2 linked regions of the Neurospora crassa OR74A genome follow. The protein of the gene in region 2 purifies or fractionates together with the protein of the main gene of each other region. This does not show direct contact. Links are inferred from orthologs where the notes say so. Each region holds a gene or a part of one and is shown on either strand. Other genes may lie near its edges.

Evidence for each region.
Region 1: the proteins of NCU09118 (region 2) and NCU03092 purify together in Saccharomyces cerevisiae (affinity purification with western blotting; 3 studies listed by BioGRID). This does not show direct contact. The link is inferred for Neurospora crassa OR74A from reciprocal best matches to the Saccharomyces cerevisiae genes TOP1 and NSR1.

What each region holds. Positions count from the first base shown.
Region 1 is NC_026501.1:4,517,926-4,522,379, reverse strand, and holds NCU03092 (nuclear localization sequence binding protein), read left to right. Parts: upstream 1-1,418; 5' UTR 1,419-1,654; coding exon 1,655-2,014; intron 2,015-2,074; coding exon 2,075-2,670; intron 2,671-2,732; coding exon 2,733-3,063; 3' UTR 3,064-3,909; downstream 3,910-4,454. Other genes in the region: nuo12.3 (NADH:ubiquinone oxidoreductase 12.3kD subunit), read right to left, coding at 556-644, 769-994. UniProt on the Saccharomyces cerevisiae protein: Involved in pre-rRNA processing. Specifically binds nuclear localization sequences. Candidate for a receptor at the nucleus that may be involved in both RNA and protein transport. Binds telomeric sequences of the type (TG[1-3])n in vitro.
Region 2 is NC_026501.1:5,391,471-5,395,944, forward strand, and holds the start of NCU09118 (DNA topoisomerase I), read right to left. Parts: upstream 2,919-4,474; 5' UTR 2,186-2,918; coding exon 2,134-2,185; intron 1,942-2,133; coding exon 1,718-1,941; intron 1,658-1,717; coding exon 1-1,657.

The sequences.
Region 1 (4,454 bases), about 870 kb from region 2:
GGCCTGGGGAGACGGACACGGGATGCGCGCGACGAATTGGAGGGGTGGGACGGGAGCTAAAAATTTCTACGGCGGGTGAAAAGCACCACTGGAGCAGTTTTGATATTGGACAGGAACCGTTGCAGCTGTTACTAGGGCAGTGACAACTAAAGCACTTTATGTATTCTATAGTCCAAATCTGCGAACTGTACAGACAACATACGTGCAGAAGAATAAATGAAAAAAATAAAAAAAATGGGAGGCCGAATTGAGTCCTGTTATTCCTCTAGTCCCCCGTGTGTCTGTTGTTGCCGAGTTCTGTTAATATTTACATGCCTGCTCGTAAGTCTCATTAAAGGGCCCGAGCACTCCTCTGGGGGTTGCTGAAGCCGAACGTCTGAAAGGGTGGTCCGCGATGTTATGGAGCCCCTTCCCGGTTCGACCATGACTGACTCGCTCTCCGGTTCTCGAGCGCACTGCCCTGCCAAAACTCTCGCTGCCCAGATCATTTCAGCCCCAAATCAGCTCGCTCCAGCTTGTACCCTCCGGTCTGCTCCCAGAATGATGGAGGAGAACTCATTGCTTTGGCTGGTTCGCGAAATGGTTCTGCTGCTCGAAAAGATAACCCTGGACACGGTTTTCGGAGAGTAGTTGGAGGTAGCGTTCTGTGTCAGAAACAAGTCAGCAAGAGAAGGGGAAAAAGCACCATCGCATGGCTGATTGCATGCAATTGCTGAATGGTTCTGCCGCCAAAGAACCACGGGAGATGGGAAGCACTCCTGTACCCACCTCTCAGATGTCCGCACTTCTCCAGATGGTTCACGCCCTCCCTATAATAGCACTTGGACAACTCCTCCCGCACCAGGCGACCCATCATAACTCGGACCCATTGCTCGCGGATAATGGCATCCTGGGCCTGCTTCAGGCGCTTCGTATCATTGTAGTCGACGCCGTCAAAGGTGGGCGGGACGGTGGGCTTCTTGGCCAGGAAGGCCGCCGATTCGGGAGTAGGCATTGCTGCTAGATGTGGGCGACTCGCGAGAGAAGACCGAAAGCACAAGTTGTCGTCAAACAAAGCTGTAGAGAGGGAGAGAGACGCAGCTTATCGTCCCGCACTTTCGTCTCGTCGATGATGCCGTTGCAACCAACACGGCGCATCTCTAAGCTCCAAGTGGTGCCCCGGTCGTATGGTGGCTCGAGCTTTACAGCACACCTGGGAAACCAGGCAGGCAGGGACGCGCTAGCCCAAATGCTGTTCGTCTTTCGGACCATGCAGTAAAGTTGCAATTGACGGGGGGTCGTGGGCCGTGGCAGGCATGGGAAGGAACTTTCAGGTGGAACGAACTTCCCCACCGCGGCTCGTGCGCGGGCCACCGCCTTCGCGTGTGTACATAACCTCCACCCGGATCCTCCACTGCCCCAGGTCCCCTGCCCCACTAGAAAGTCCCATATCAAAGTGTGATAACGATTTTTTTTTCTGCCGTAGGTTGATCAGCCAGAGATTTTACGGTACCCGCCACCCTCTGCTCCCCATTTAAACAGCAGTCTTCCCGACGAAATTTCTTTTCTTCAGACGCATCCTTTATCCCATTCATCATCTTCATCCTTCTTTTTTCTTCAATACCCTTTAGCGGATTCCATCACTTCATCACATCACTTTACAACAACCGCTATCATGGGCAAGAAGGATTCCGTCAAGGCCACCAAGGCCACCAAGGTCGCCAAGGCCGAGCCCGTCAAGGCTGCTAAGCCCGTCAAGGCCACCAAGGCTGAGAAGCCCTCCAAGAAGTCCAAGAAGGAGGAGTCCTCTTCCGAGGAGGAGGAGTCCGAGTCTGAGTCTTCTGAGGAGGAGTCCAGCGAGGATGAGTCCAGCGATGAGTCTTCCGATGAGGAGATGACCGACGCTCCTGCCGCCAAGGAGACCAAGAAGGCCGAGTCTTCCGACTCTGACTCCGATTCTGACTCTGACGACTCCGAGTCTGAGGAGACTTCCGAGGAGGAGAAGCCCGCCGTCAAGGAGGAGAAGAAGGAGAGCGTGAGTACAACATAACTTCCTCTTCATAGTATACATCTGCTAACCCACGTCTGCTTATAGTCCGATGATGAGGAGAGCGACTCCGACAACTCCGATTCCGACTCTGACTCTGACTCTTCCGAGTCCGAGGAGAAGTCTGAGTCCGAGGAGCCTTCCAAGAAGCGCAAGGCTGAGGAGTCCTCCGAGGAGGAGGAGGCTCCCAAGAAGGCCAAGACTGAGGAGGTTGCCGACGACAAGAGCACCCTCTGGGTTGGTAACCTCGGCTGGGGTATCGATGATGCTATCCTCTTGGCTGAGTTCGAGGACTGCGAGGGTGCTAAGAGCGCTCGCGTCGTCACTGACCGTGAGTCTGGCCGCTCGCGCGGTTTCGGCTACGTCGACTTTGCCACCAACGAGCAGGCGCAGAAGGCTTATGATGCCAAGAGCGGTGCTCTTCTTGAGGGCCGTGAGATGCGTCTCGACTTCGCTGCCAAGGATGCCGGCAACAAGCCCCAAGACAAGGCCGCCAACCGCGCTGCCAAGCACGGTGACACCATCTCTCCCGAGTCCGACACCCTCTTCGTCGGTAACATGCCCTTCTCCGCCGACGAGTCTGTCGTCTCCGACTTCTTCAACTCCGTCGCTTCCGTTGCCAGCCTCCGTATCCCTACTGACCAGTGAGTATCCCACTATACCTTTGTGTGCATCTTTGCCGAGCAGAGTTTTAACAGTCTTCTAGGGAGTCCGGCCGCCCCAAGGGCTTCGCCTATGTTACCTTCAACTCCGTTGAGGATGCCAAGAACGCTTTCGAGCAACTGAACGGCTCCGACCTCAATGGCCGTCCCGTCCGTCTCGACTACGCCAAGCCCCGTGACAACAACGGTGGCGGTGGTGGCTTCGGCGGCGGCCGCGGTGGTGGCCGTGGCGGTGGCCGTGGTGGTTTCGGTGGCCGTGGTGGTGGCCGTGGTGGCCGTGGTGACTTCGGTGGCCGTGGCGGTGGCCGCGGTGGCGGACGGGGTGGTTTCGGTGGCAGCCGTGGTGGCTTCCAGGGCAAGAAGACCACCTTCTAAAGTGGTCAAGTGGGATTCCCGCACACATTGGGGAATGTGATACCATAACCTGAGGGCATTGAAACACAGATTCGCACTGGAGGGCTTAGTGGGTTGTCGGCTTTTGAAATCTTACAGTGTCTCCTTCGTGGGAGATCGTGGGCTTTTTGAGAGATAACTGCTTCCCTGCTGCGTGGCAGGGAAAGCAAGCGATACCTGAGGGCTTGAAGATGGTGGTGAGCTGGTAGCTCTTTGACAGCTCGTTCGTACATGGCACGTCTGTTCTTTCTCAACAGGAAAGTTAGGACCTCTGCCGGTGGGCTTGTTGGCTGGTTCCATGACCCTTGCGCGGTCGTCTGCACTTTGGATTCGATGCATACCAGAAGAATGATGGGTTCCAAGTACTCTGTGGGCTCGTGGGCTCTTGTGGGCTTTAGCTGACAAAACGGAAGAACGGAAAAGCGAGGACCTGTACTTGCACATGCCACAAACATGTGTTCACACAGCCTTATCCAGTCTGTGCTTCGAGGGTGGTTCATCGTTTCCTGTTCTTTTCCGCATACTATTGTCATTGCTTCTTCCTGTGGGGTTACTAAAGAGGGCATCTAAAAGTTGGTTTGGGATTTTCCGGTACAATCACGGGGTCACCTGGGGGCACTTAAAATGGGTTTCGGGTCTTTTCTTTTTCTTTTTTTTTCATATCAGCATTTGCCCTTCACGATACATCATCGATGGCGTAACGGTACAGAACACGGGTGATCCTTCTTAACGAACATTACCCGGTAAGTAATCTGATACTCTTCCCCTGTTTCATATACCCAAGTCCCAACGGACTAGAAGTAGCAAGAAAGAAGTATTGTTCAGTAACTGTGTTGTTCCAATGATGTGACTTGCCGTTATGTATGTGATGTGGTATTTTGAGGCGTAGACTTGTGTGTATGTATGTCGATAGGATCTTCAAAAAACTGCTCGTTCACAAAAGTCTTGATCATTCGTCACGTGTTTCAACATGGTCACAGTTGACCGCGATAGCTCCCAAAGTGTCACGAAGCAAATCCCCAAAAAGTTGAATTCGATGAACTCGGTTCGTCTACAAGTCATCTCAACAGTCGATACACAAACAAGCCCAAACTAAAGCCAAAGTCACGCAACACCAACAAAAAAAGAACCTAGACCTGCGACCAAATCGGGTAACCAAAATAACAAGATCAAATCCGAGTCCCGAATGAAAAAGACAACCAAGATGGGAAGAAAATATGAAGAAAATATGAAAAAAATAGCAGATTAAGAAGGTTAATGATGCGTGTATGCGTATGGCTGTCCCCATGATGCCAGATATTGAAGGTAAATGTTCTGCATACAATCGTTCTCTCCTCTCTTTGCAGCATTTGTTGGGGAATATTTCCTTCCAA
Region 2 (4,474 bases):
GTCTGTCAAAGATGTCATCTCCGTCCTCCTTGGGAGGCTTCTTGAACATTTTGAGGTTCTTGAAGACCTGGCGATCGACCGTGAACTCGTTGTAGAAACGAATACTGTCCTTGCCCAAGAAGTCGAAAATGACAGTGTTGGGTTCCCTGAGGGTGACGTGCTCGTACTTGAGAGAGCAGCAACCGACAGTCTCGGCCTCGTTCTCGGTATCCTTTTCGTTACCGGCTCTGAGAGCGAACTTGTCAATGAGGTACATGGCCGTTGCGCGTTGCCTGTCAGCCATGACCTCGCTCTTGAGGTCCTTGGTATAATCGGCACGGATGCGATCAATGTATTTCTTGAGCTCACGGGCCTTTTCGAACTTCTTGAAATCGGCCTTGCCCTTCACAGTACTGTTTGCTGCCAACATCACATACTTGTAGTGTCCGTTGATGTTCTCTTGCCACATCGCGAGCCAAGTTGCCTTGTTGTCATGTTGAACGGCCTTCCACTTGTGGCCAGCTGGCGGCTCTGGGACCTTGGCCTCTTTGCCGATGTTGATGGTAATTTGCTCTGGCAAAACACGCTTCTTGATACACCCGGTCTTGGGGTGATCACCGCGACCACGGAAAAGTCCTGGAATTTCCACTCTGGGGTTACCAACCTTTTCTTTTCGCCCATCCCACTTGCAATATAGATAGGGGGCGTCCCTCTTGTCCCTTTCGGCTTTCTCGGCCTTCTTCTCTGCTGACGACCGGGCATTCTTAGCCTTCGTTTGAGCATCTTTGTAAGCCCACAACTGGGAGAAGTCGAGTTTTTCGAATTCCTTGATGTCAACCTTTTTGCCATTCTTGTCCTTGGCGCCACCTGTCCGATCTAGGATCTCCTTGAAGTCCCTGAAGAAGTTCTTCTGGAAAGTTGGGTTCTCAACATTCACCGTCGAGTTAAGCATGAAGCCGAAAAAGGTCGCAGCTTCCTCGGCCTCGATATCGAGTTCGACCGGCGTTCCATCGTAGAGCAGTTTGACGTCCTTGGGCAAACGCTGGTAATCCTCGGGGAAGATGACGCCGTTGTGCTCCAAGGTGGTCCACTTGATACTGTCATCTTCCTTCTTTGCCGACTCCTCCCACCACTTATACTCCTCTTCCTCATCGTCCTCATCGGTGATGTCCTTCGATTCCTCCTTGACGGACTTCTTGACAGCGGCAACCTTGCCCTTCGGGGCGGCCTTCGTGGCAGCCTTTGCAGCCGGCTTTGCAGCAGGCTTTGCAGCAGGCTTCGCGGCAGGTGCCTTCTTCGCCCGCTTAGCGATGGGCACATCCGAGTCAGACTCTTCCTTCTTCACACCATTCGTCTTCTTCGCAGCTGTGCCGTTGACCTGTCGCTTGGTGGGTTTCGCAAGGGGTTCGTCATCGGAGGATTCATCCTTGACGGCCTTCTTAGCAGCAGGCTTCTTGGCCTTGGTACCAGCACGAATACTCTTGGCTTCCTTGGCGGCTTCCTTCTCGATATTGGCCTTCTTCGCGGCGATCTTTCCGAGAGGTTCGTCGTCATCAGAATCTACGTCCATATCCGTATTCTTGGCGGAGGGAGGCAATCTCGCGCCATTTTTTTTCGCAATCGGCTCGTCGTCGCTATCGGAGTCTGGTTGCTTATGTTGTGTTTTTGAACGTTTCGCCTGTCCTGGTCAGCCACAGACCAAGCAAGGATACCAAGCTGCAAAGACTGGGAAACTTACCAAGGGTGCTTCGTCATCACTGGAGTCATCCTTATAGTTGATGGACTGATCAATGGATGTCCGCGATTTGCGCTTAGCCTGACCGCTTACTGAGGAGTCGACGTCCATCCTGTCCTGGTCGACGGGGCCATTACGGATGGAGACACCAACGGGAGCCATGTGAACCTTGGAATCAGCAGCGTCCATGGCACGATCATCGGCCTTGGAGATGGTCGGCGCCGAGGCTATAGTTGAAGAGAAAAGATTAGTCTCATGGGCGTGGTACAATGACAGATTGCATTTAGACGAGGCCATGGAAGGCATGACACGTTGACTCAGATCGGCTGGCAAACAGTGTGACGGGGCAGAGGATAGAGTGAAATAAGCGAGGGCTGATGGATGAAAGTGTGTGACTGATCACAGAAGCATTGACGTACCGTGGCCGTTGACCTTGGCGAGCGGCTTGTCGTCTTCAGAGCCCGAAGACATGGTTGCTAAAGCGTGTTGCGGTGTCGGCACTAGTAGGTACGTACGAATGTGTAAGGGCGCAAAATCCGACCCGTAGAGGTAGCGGCCGCTAAACAGTGGCGAAGGGTTGCTAGCAAGATGTCTGCAGGGCAACCGAGTCGAAAATGTTGTCGTCGGTCGTCGCTAGGAAGGGAGACGTGGAGAGAAAGAAATTCGCCGCTGGAGGTGACCGCTTACACCTTTGACCGTGGACAGAGTCTTGGTGCAAGTCACTTGGTGACCAAGGCTGGAAAGCGAGGGTCTCGGGAACTCGTCAAGGTCTTGGGTGCGCGAAAAATCGAGATGGCCGGTCGAGGGAACGAGTGTGTGAAAAAAAAAAGAGAGAGGATGTGGAGAGCCTGGAGGGTGGAGAGAACCAGAATGGCGCAAGGTGAGGGAGAAGAAGTGAAGGGAAAAAAGCGAAGGCGGAGGGCAGCATGAACGAATTCGGGAAGAGCAAGGGCAGTCGGGAGGCTGTTAAAGATAAATCCTGGGGCTCCACCCTGCAACTCTTTCTGGGCGGTCGTTGCCAGGACCGCCAGGCTGTGGAAGTATCGATGGGTGCTGTGGGTGGGTGGGTGTGTGGGTGTGTGGTGAGTGAGAACTGAGTCTCCAGTCGGGACTCCAGCCAACGGAAGGGAAGGTTTCGATGCGTCGTCGCGGTCGCAGGGGGATGTTCGCCAGGTCCAGTCTGTACCGCAATTCTCCCTGGTTCGCCTGGGTCGGTGCACCTCACCTGCCCCAAAATCCCTGAGGTGGTCGACTTTGAGAGGCCGGTACCTTTTTAGCGCGTCCCCGCTCTCGGTACCTTGAGTCTGAGCGTTCAGTTTCTAGCGTAGCGTACGCCCGTCAGTGTCGTGAGTGCGGTACGTAGAATCTATGGAATGGAAGTTCTCTGTTGCGTGTGGCAAAGACGGGCGCTCCAACAACAGTACGCTAGGCACCACTGGGATCGTGAGCACCCAGCCTCACAATGATTGCTCCAGAAAGCTGAAGGCATACTGACACACCTTGTTCATTCAAACAGAAAAACACCGCGTCGTCTGATCTTCACCCTAGTGAAGCTTCCGTGTGCTTGCTTAATCTGTGGGTGACTTAGGTTCAAGTTATTTACCGTCAAGGACACTGAGACGTGGACGCTTTTGATACAACCGTTTGCAAGGCACTTCCTCGTTCAAGTGAGCACCAAATTCACAACCGGATCGATGCTAAGTAGTTATCTCAGCGCTCAGACCCACCTTGAGCTCCCGGGCGTGCACGGACCTGTAACGAATACCACAATCTCAGCATTTTATTGATAAATTGAATTTTCTTTCCAAACCGGGCAATATTTTGGCCCTCCGCTCAAGGAGGTCTGAGTACACAACTCGATTAGAATCGCGTAGAGGTTGACCAACCCCCCAGAATATCAACCTCAACACTATAACTTCACAACAACACGTCGCATCACGAGGGTTTCTAGTTAATTCGGATCGCAAAAATCACAGCTTTCCAACGGTATCAATTTCATTATCATTACCATAGAGGAAGACTCCCAACACAAGGATGCGCAATCCATTCGCAATCTTCCAGCCCACATACAACATCGTCGTAATCGCTCTTAAGTATAACCATATTACTAACGTACTTCTTTAGCAACTAAACTATTAGGAATTAAAGAATTATTTGCTCTCTCTTCTACTCCATCTAATATTTAAGTCCCGGATTATATATAAGTAGAGCAAGACGTCGATAATAGAGTAAACTACAATAATACACTTATAGAGGATAATAATTATAATATTATTAAAGAGATATTCGACCTTTAGGCTCGCCTCCAATTAAGGTATAGTAAATGCGTAATAAAAGTAGCGATAAAAGGATAAGTTATTAAACTAAAGTCGTTTAATATTAAGGTATTTATAGTAGAGTAGTTTAAAGTTAGGCGTAGAAGTATAGATTTTATTAGTTTTTTCGACGAAAATAACAATATAAAGGAAGCTTTTAATAATAGTAGTCTTATTATTTAGTATACCGTTAATATACCCGATGGTCTAAATTACCCTACTTTTATACTATATAAAGAGATATAGGCCCTATTTACTGAGTTATTCTTCGGATAGTTTGAGGTTGAAAATATTTATTAAAGTAATGAATTAACTACTATTTTTCAATTAAGTAATTTATTTTAGTTAGAGAATACTCTGAAAGAGACTTAGCTAACCCTTAGAGCTATTGCTCCTAATATAGTTACTATAATTTTATAGTTTATAGTTAATTAGTTTAGAATAA